Linked DNA regions of Macaca mulatta. The main gene of each other region encodes a partner of the protein of the gene in region 2 in a complex. Links are inferred from orthologs where the notes say so. Each region holds a gene or a part of one and is shown on either strand. Other genes may lie near its edges. The genes, in order: FETUB and MEP1A.

What was found.
Region 1: the proteins of MEP1A (region 2) and FETUB are in contact, whole or in part, in a cryo-EM structure (PDB 7UAI), measured with the Homo sapiens proteins. The link is inferred for Macaca mulatta from reciprocal best matches to the Homo sapiens genes MEP1A and FETUB. Residues at the interface, in NP_005579.2 of Homo sapiens: Asp126, Gly127, Cys128, Trp129, Ser130, Glu131, Val132, Gln145, Gly146, Cys147, Tyr149, Ile152, His155, Glu156, His159, Tyr164, His165, Gln167, Ser168, Leu184, Gly186, Tyr187, His189, Asn190, Asp192, Tyr194, Tyr214, Gln215, Phe217, Ser218; in NP_001362516.1 of Homo sapiens: Phe109, Phe110, Lys144, Lys145, Tyr148, Met149, Thr150, Cys151, Pro152, Asp153, Cys154, Pro155, Ser156, Ser157, Ile158, Ser196, Ser197, Gln198, Trp199, Val200, Val201, Gly202, Tyr205, Phe206, Thr242, His245, Trp246, Phe249, Val250, Ser251.

The regions. Positions count from the first base shown.
Region 1 is NC_133407.1:98,808,236-98,812,509, reverse strand, and holds the start of FETUB (fetuin-B), read right to left. Parts: upstream 3,015-4,274; 5' UTR 2,733-3,014; intron 1-2,732. UniProt on the Homo sapiens protein: Protease inhibitor required for egg fertilization.
Region 2 is NC_133409.1:135,389,029-135,392,846, forward strand, and holds part of MEP1A (meprin A subunit alpha), read right to left. Parts: intron 1,844-3,818; coding exon 1,803-1,843; intron 1,343-1,802; coding exon 1,267-1,342; intron 1-1,266.

The DNA.
Region 1 (4,274 bases), on a different chromosome or scaffold from region 2:
AAAAGTATTTATGACTATGAATGGAGCTGGGTGGAGGGCTTGGAGAATTCACTACAAGTTATTTAAACTTTTTTTCTCATTAGAAGAATATTACCAAAGTGATATGCACCTTATAGAAAAATTAAAAGCAAATAAAAAGACAAAAATATTTGACCACACTGTTAATAGCTGACGGATGTCCTTCCAGACTTTCCTCTATGCATATATCACATGCATTTTTATACAAAAATACTGTATTAGTACACTTACTATATGGTAACTTGCTTTTAAAATCCAACAATAGCCAGGCGCGGTGGCTCACGCCTGTAATCCCAGCACTTTGGGAGGCTGAGGTGGGCAGATCACAAGGTCAGGAGATCGAGACCATCCTGGCTAATATGGTGAAACTCCGTCTATATTAAAATTACAAAAAAATTAGCCAGGTGTGGTGGTGGGCGCCTGTAGTTCCAGCTACTTGGGAGGCTGAGGCAGGAGAATGGCGTGAACCCAGGAGGCGGAGTTTGCAGTGAGCTAAGAATAGTGCCACTGCACTCCAGCCTGGGCTGCAGAGTGAGACTCCGTCTCAAAAAAAAATAATAAATAAATAAAATACAACAATAGATCCTGAGCATCTTGACATATGAAATAATCCACTTCTGCAATTTAATTTTTAATTATTACACAATAGTCTGTTGACAGGTGAGTCAGTTCTTCAAGCCAACTGTCTTTGATAGACAGGTCGATTGTTTCCAATTCTCTGCTATTATAAACAATGTTGCAATTAACATTCTTGTGGGTAGATCTTTGTTCATATCCCTAATTATTTGCTTAGTACAAATGCCTAAAAATTGAATTACTGGGTCAAGGGCAATTCTTACTGTTAAAACTTCTGATATAATTTGCCATCTTAGGCCTGGCACAATGGTTCATGCTAGTGCTTTGGGAGCCCAAAGTGGGTGGATCACTTAAGGCCAGGAGTTTAAGACCAGCCTGGGCACCACAGCAAGACCTCATTTCTATAAATAACCTTTTAAAAATGAGCTGGGCTTGAAGGCATGTATCTCTGGTCCCAGCTACTCAGAGGCTGCGGCGGTAGGATCACTTGAGAACAGGAGTTTGAGCACTTAGTGAGCTATCATTGCGCCACTGCACTCCAGCCTGGGTGATGGAGCAAGACTGTGTCTCAAAAAAAAAATTAATTAATAATTGTAATAATTTGCCATATTGCTCTCCAGAAATACTATAACAATAGCATTCACACCGGCAGTGGATAAAGCATTAGGAAATGATCTTCATTTGAATGTTCCAAGCACAGTAAACAAAAACTTATCTTGAAAGGGTAGAAAGGCCAGGAGAGGTGGCTCACGCCTGTAATCCCAGCACTTTGGGAGACTGAGGTGGGCGGAGTTTGAGACCAGTCTGGCCATTATGGTGAAACTACGTCCCTACTAAAAATACAAAAATTAGCCGTGTGTGGTGGCGCATGCCTGTAGTCCCAGCTACTCAGTAGGCTAAGGCAGGAGAATCACTTGAACCCAGGAGGCAGAGATTGCAGGGAGCCGAGATGGTGCCACTGCCCTCCAGCCTGGGCGACAGAGTGAGTGTCTGTTTAAAAAAAAAAAAAAAAGTGCAGAGAGAGGCTGTGAAGCTTGACTTTCTGGGCTTCTCCATGGACCGGTGGATCAGGAGTTTAGGGGGTAAGAAAAAAGTTCCTTCATTCAAGTAATGTCGTAAGTTCTTCTCCAGTGAGTGAAGTAACTGCTCTGTGATAGGCACTGTGCTAGATGTTGGGGATAAAAATTTAAAAAGCTAGCTGGGCACAGTGGCTCATGCTTGTAATCCCAGCACTTTGTGGTGCTGAGCTGGGAGGATCGTTCGAACCCAGGAGTTTGAGTTCAACCTGGGCAAAATAGCAAGACCTCATCTCTTAAAAAAAAAAAATTAAAAATTGGCCAGGCATGATGGCATGCACCTGTAGACCTAGCTACTCAGGAGGCTTAGGCAGAAGTATCACTTGAGCCCAGGATGTCAAGGCTGAAGTGGGCCATGATTGTGCCACTGCACTCCAGCCTGGTGACAGAGTGATACCTTGTCTCAAAAAGATAATAAATAAATAAATAAGTGCTGCCTAGTTTTCAATCCTCTGCATTGTAACAATTGAAGAATCATTTGCTTGAGTGTGAGATAACAGATATCACAGGGCTGCCAAGGACCCATCAGTGATCACAGGGAGGACAGCCTCTCTGATGAGAACAGGGTAACACTCTTTGAAATGAAATCTCATGTGACATTTGAGATATCTGGCTTGTAGTGTAAAATTTGTGACAATTCTTGCTGTCTATGTGCTTTAGCAGGTAACAACAAAATTGCTCAAGTGCTCTTTTCTCATTAATTTTAAGTAAACCAGGCCCCAAATATTATGGGTAAATTTTTTTCTACTGTAATTGAGATTATATGTGTGTGCTTGTGTGTGTGTGTGTGTGTGTGTGTGTGTATGTGTGTGTGAGAGAGAGAGAGAGAGAGAACTAGAAAGTGGAAGGGAAGAGGTGAGAAGAGGCATGGTGAGGTAACGACAAGATATAAGGCCGGAGTAGTAGTCAAGCAAAAGCCTGAGAGTCTTCGGTGCTGTAGTGATTAGAATAGCATACTAAAAGTACTGGGGAATCACTGCAGTTTTTAAGAACTAGATTCTCAGAAAGATTATTCCAAGTAGCAGCAATGAAAGGACCCCAGCTTCTCCAGGATACCCTTACCAGCAAGGCCATAGGCAACCAAAACAGACGTGGGTGAGGGTCCATCCTTGTAGGGTCTCAGCTCATGCTTGCGGGTTCCAATCTGCTGTCAATTCCCCGTACTTCATATCCATCTTCTCTTTCTGAACACCTGCCCTGTGGACTTCAGGCTCCAGCATCAGATACAGAGACAGCCTTACAGGGACTCTTTATCCAGCCCCCACAATTGCATAATCCAGTTCCCTACAATACCTCCCTGGTTATGCTAAACCTGGTTGAACCCTGAGTGATACAGTTGTGAATGAGAAAAGCCTGTGAGGAGACACTGCTGAAGAGGTGGAAGTGACAGTGGGAACAGAGAGGAAGGACTGGATCTGAGATATGATGAGGATTTAGGAAATCAAGACCTGGTGACTCACAAAATATGGCAGCAAGAAAGGGTGAGGGATCAAGAATGACTCCAGAGTTTTCAGGTTATTTGACCGAGTCAAAGAGTTGAGCTACCATTACAGGAATAGAGCAGATTTGGAAGGGGGAGGGGATGGGGACCTGAGTTTGAGGCTGTTAAATTTGAAGAATCTGAGCGATCTCTAAGTGGAGTCTCATAATATGTGTTGGATGTACGGACTCAAGGCTTAAAGGGGATAAGCAAGATCATCATTAGCCAGAGGTGGAGGCTAAAATCTTGGGAGTGGGTGAGCTCATTCTGGGAGAGCAGGTAAGGCAATGAGATGAGAATGAGGTGGAGCTCTGAGAAAACTAATATTTAAGGAGGAAGCAGAGGAAGATGAGCTAAAAGAAAAAGGGTCTGAGATTGAAAGGCTGCAGAGGAGAAAGACAGGCTCCATAGGCCAGGAAGGACTGCATTCAAAAACGAAAGGCATGGTCAGAGGGTCAGATGCCACGGAGACCTTGAATATAAAGGGCTAAACGTGTATCCATTTGATCCAGAAGTTCCCCCGTGATCTTTGTTGGTAGTAGTTTCAGAGGAGGGGTGGCAATAGAAGCCAGATTACTGTGGAAAAAAACAAAAAAACAAAAAAACGAATAGGAGTTCAGGAAGTGGAGACAAGCAAGTATAGACCATTGCTTATAAAAGCTTCTTTATAAATGGAAGGAAAGCGAACATTAAAAAGAAGAATACAAGGTTAAGGAAAGAACTTTAAAAGAATAAATAGAAGGCCAGGCACAGTGGCTCACGCCTGTAATCCCAGCATTTTCGGAGGCCAAGGCAGGCAGATCATTTGAGATCAGAAGTTGAAGACTAACCTGGCCAAAATGGCTAAACCCCATCTCTAATAAAAATACAAAAAAAAAAAAAAAACCCACAAAAATTAGCTGGACGTGCTGGTGCACACCTGTAATCCCAGTTACTTGGGAGGCTGAGATCAGAGAATCGCTTGAACCCAGGAGACAGAGGTTGCAGTGAGCTAAGATGACACCACTGCACTCCAGCCTGGGCGACAGAGTGAGACTCTGCCTCAAAATAAAAAATAAGCCGGGCGCGGTGGCTCACGCCTGTAATCCTAGCACTTTGGGAGGCTGAGGTGGGTGGATTGACTG
Region 2 (3,818 bases):
CACTTAAGCTGTGGTCTGCGTGGGGACCAATAGCATCAGCATCACTGGAGGACCACTGGACATGCAACATCTCACGCACCAACCCTGACCTACTCTGTAGGTTAACAAGCTCCTCATACGAATCCTATGCACATTACAGTCTGAGAAGCACTGCCTTACACCTCACAGAGGCAATGGTGAAGGTTACATAAAATATTAGATGAAGGCACAGTGCCCGGCACATAATAGGGTGGTGGAGATGTGACAACCAGGATAAAAGAACCTGTAATGGGAAAGAACCCCTTTTAAAGTTGGTGTTTCTTAAATCATGTTCCATTAACTATTGGTGTTCCATGAATTTGCAAGGCAAACACTGGAGAAAATAACTCAATTTTCCAAGTGTTAGTGAGAACAACATTTGTTTATATCTAGCTGTTCTCCATAAAAAGGGATTCGAGGCAGCGCTGATAAAGAGGATGGAAAATACTGAAACATAATCTACATCTCCTGAGACTATAAGCAGCCTAGCAGCCCAACAAGATGAAGCAACCTTGTCCTGGCTTTCCCTCTTCACTCTAATCTTGCCCATCTGTCTAAGCAGGTGGGGCCTTGTAGGCATTGAGTCATCATGGCTGCTCAGCTGTCAGTCAACTGCTTGAGGGTGCCTACATGGGGCTTCTAATATTTATTTCTACCGGCTGTTAGTTCTATACACAATCTTAGCTGAAAGGCAGAGAAGTGATTCTACTAGTCATTATTTCTAACAATGAGTAAAATGTAACATATTCAGATCTTTTTCTCAAGAGAGAAAAGAGTAGACATTAATAACACCAAGAAAAAAGGATTGTGAACATGTGAAACATGCACTTTTCTATTTCTCAAAGTGTGGCATGTTTCTCTTGTAACAAAAAGAGAAGAAATCCGTATGCTGAAAATAGGATCCTCACACTACGTTTAGATTCACCTAAACAAAGTGCAAACTTTGCCTTGCTCTGATGCAAACTATATTTCATTGGGTTTTTGCTCTTTTACGTTGCTCCTGGTTATACTAATAGTTTAATGTGTGTTGCATTTTAAAAGTTATTCTTGGATACTGTGTATCAGACTGGTTAAGCAGCACTGGTTTTGATGTAATGTCATGTCTTTCTCCCCATGAGATAAAGATTCACCAGGACTTGAAAACCCTCTTAGACTCTGGTGGTTACTCCCAATATGAAGCCCATGATCAGGCTGAGAGGGGAGAGAGAGTTAAACCGAAAACTCCTAATTAAGAGCAATTAATATTACCCAAATTATCAGCCAAGATGTAAGGAATGGGGAACTTCCACCTGGTGTTTGGGTCTCTCAGGCCATTTCTGGAGTTCTGTGAAAACAAAGGTAAAGGTGAGTGGGAAGCCTAGTCCTCAAGATCACCTTGACCTCCTCCTTCAATAAACTCTCACACAGCAAACAGTCTATCACACAATTCAAACGGTTTAGTGGCAATTTCTCTTCTGATTATGAAAGCAATAGAAGTCCCTTGAGAGATAATTTGGAAAAATCAGAGAAATTATTAAGAACAAAATAAAGGGGGCCTGCAATCCCAGGAAAATTGGATAGATAAGCCATCTAATTATTTTAGACTCTTTTGTGCTGTTTACTTATTTTCCCTCTGTTTTCGTCCTTACCGGCTATAGTGGAACTCCTCACTGGAACAGATTATAGATGAGATTTCTGTTATCTCCTTCACAGTGCCCATCCCAGGGCTGGCGACAGAGCAGAGACTGACACCCAATGGTACTGTCTGTCCTGAGGAACTTACTGCATCTTTGACAGGTACTCACCTGCAAGAGGATGTCCCCTTGAAAGAGGTCCAAGCCTGCAGCTGGAAATGGAATTTTTTTTAAAAAAAGAATATTTGAGTGAACATTATTAAAAGGCATCTTCCATAATAAAATTAATCTTTGCCATTATAAATCTTTGAATATTAGTCTTTACGTGGCAAAACTTTTCGAAACAATACAAAAATTCCAGTTGAGCAAATGTGAATGGCCAATGAGTATCACATATTGTCATAGCCTCTGTTTTCAATTTTGAAACAATAAATCTTGTCTAAGAATCTTAAAAGTAAGAGATAAGTTAGAAGGGATTTTATTGATCACTGACTATAAAAAAGGGATTTGAGGCAGCACTGATAAGGAGGATGAAAAATATTGAGAGAATGGCTGGGGGTGGTGGCTCACGCCTGTAATCCCAGCACTTTGGGAGGCCAAGGTGGGCGGATCACCCGAAGTCAGGAGTTTGAGACCAGCCTGGCCAATGTGGTGAAACCCCTTCTCTACTAAAAGTACAAAAATTAGCTGAGCTTGGTGGTGCACACCTGTAGTCCCAGCTACTGAGGACGCTAAGGCAGGAGAATTGCTCAAACCTAGGAGGTGGAGGTTGCAGTGAGCCATGATCGCGCCACTGCACTCCAGCCTGGATGACAGAGCCAGACTCCATCCCAAAAAAGAAAAGAAAAATATTGAGAAAAATGGAGAAAAAAATAGAGTCCAGCGACATGAAGTGATGTACTACGTAATCCAGGGGCCAAGAGAGCATCAAAACTCCGGCCTTCCCATTCAGGGCTCTTTCTGCCCCCGTACCATTCTGCCTCTTGTCCCAGGGTAGATGAATGTATTCTGCTCTTCCCCATGAAAACACGATGATACCCTCCAAAACCAAGCTCAAGGTGCTGCCCACGTCATAAGGAAGACCAGAGGATTGTGGACAGATCCATTCAAAACCATACCTCCAAACATCTGTTCTCAGGTGCTTAGCAGAATACATTCTCCCACTGCTGGTATTGCTTAATCCTGGCCTCATCCTGTTTCAGTAAGCAAGATTCTTAAAAGGGAAGATCTTTGTGGGAAAATTTCTCAAGCATTAAAAGAGCATCACTTATCATAACTCTCATGTGACAAGCAACATTTTCTGTAAAATGCAACGACTTCAGACAGAATCACTGGATTGTACTTCATTCTGAGGACAGCCCTGATTTACAGGCCGGGAAACCAAAGCAGAGATTAATTACCACAGTCTCACGAGCCAACAGAGGCCCCATTTGGCAAAGCCCATGGTTCATTCAGGAACCAGCTCCATTTAGGCATAGGACACCAAGGAGGTGTTACGTATTAGCAGGCATCATGATTTCACTTGCCAGTGACTAACTAGGGCTATCCCTGCATCATTCCCTTCCTCATGCACACATTTGCTAGATTGCTTAACCTCCTTAGCCCTGACCTATTCCTATGCTAGCAGTGCAATTAAACAACCACAAACAGTAATGACATCACTGTACCACTGTCAGTAGGACCCAGATTTGAATAATCTTTTAAATAAAGGGACTTTGTTCTGGTCCATCTATTCTTTCATTGAGAATAGTTCTACTATTTGTTTGTCCTGAGCAAAAATCTGTATTTCCTGACACCTGGCCTGGATTATAATGGAATTGAGGGAGCTCTTCCAAAGTGAAGTGAACAAGCCCACTCAGACTTTGGCCCCAGTGGTCAGACAGAATGGATGGGGTCATGGGGGGCAGGGAGAACTTCCCAAAGAAGTGCACATCCAGTGAAAGCAAGCCTCAATCTATTCATTACCCAATTTGTTCACGTGGTGCGCACTTATTAAATGCCTAATGTGTCTGAAGCATTTTTCTAGATGCTGGTACATAGCAGAGAATAAAACAAAGTCCTTAAGGAGATGACACTCTTGATTGGGGGAAGAGGGAGACATACAAATAAACAAATAACTGTAAAGTATGACAAATGGTGGAAAGTACAATAAAAAAGAAACAAACGAAAGGTAAGGTGGGAAAGAGT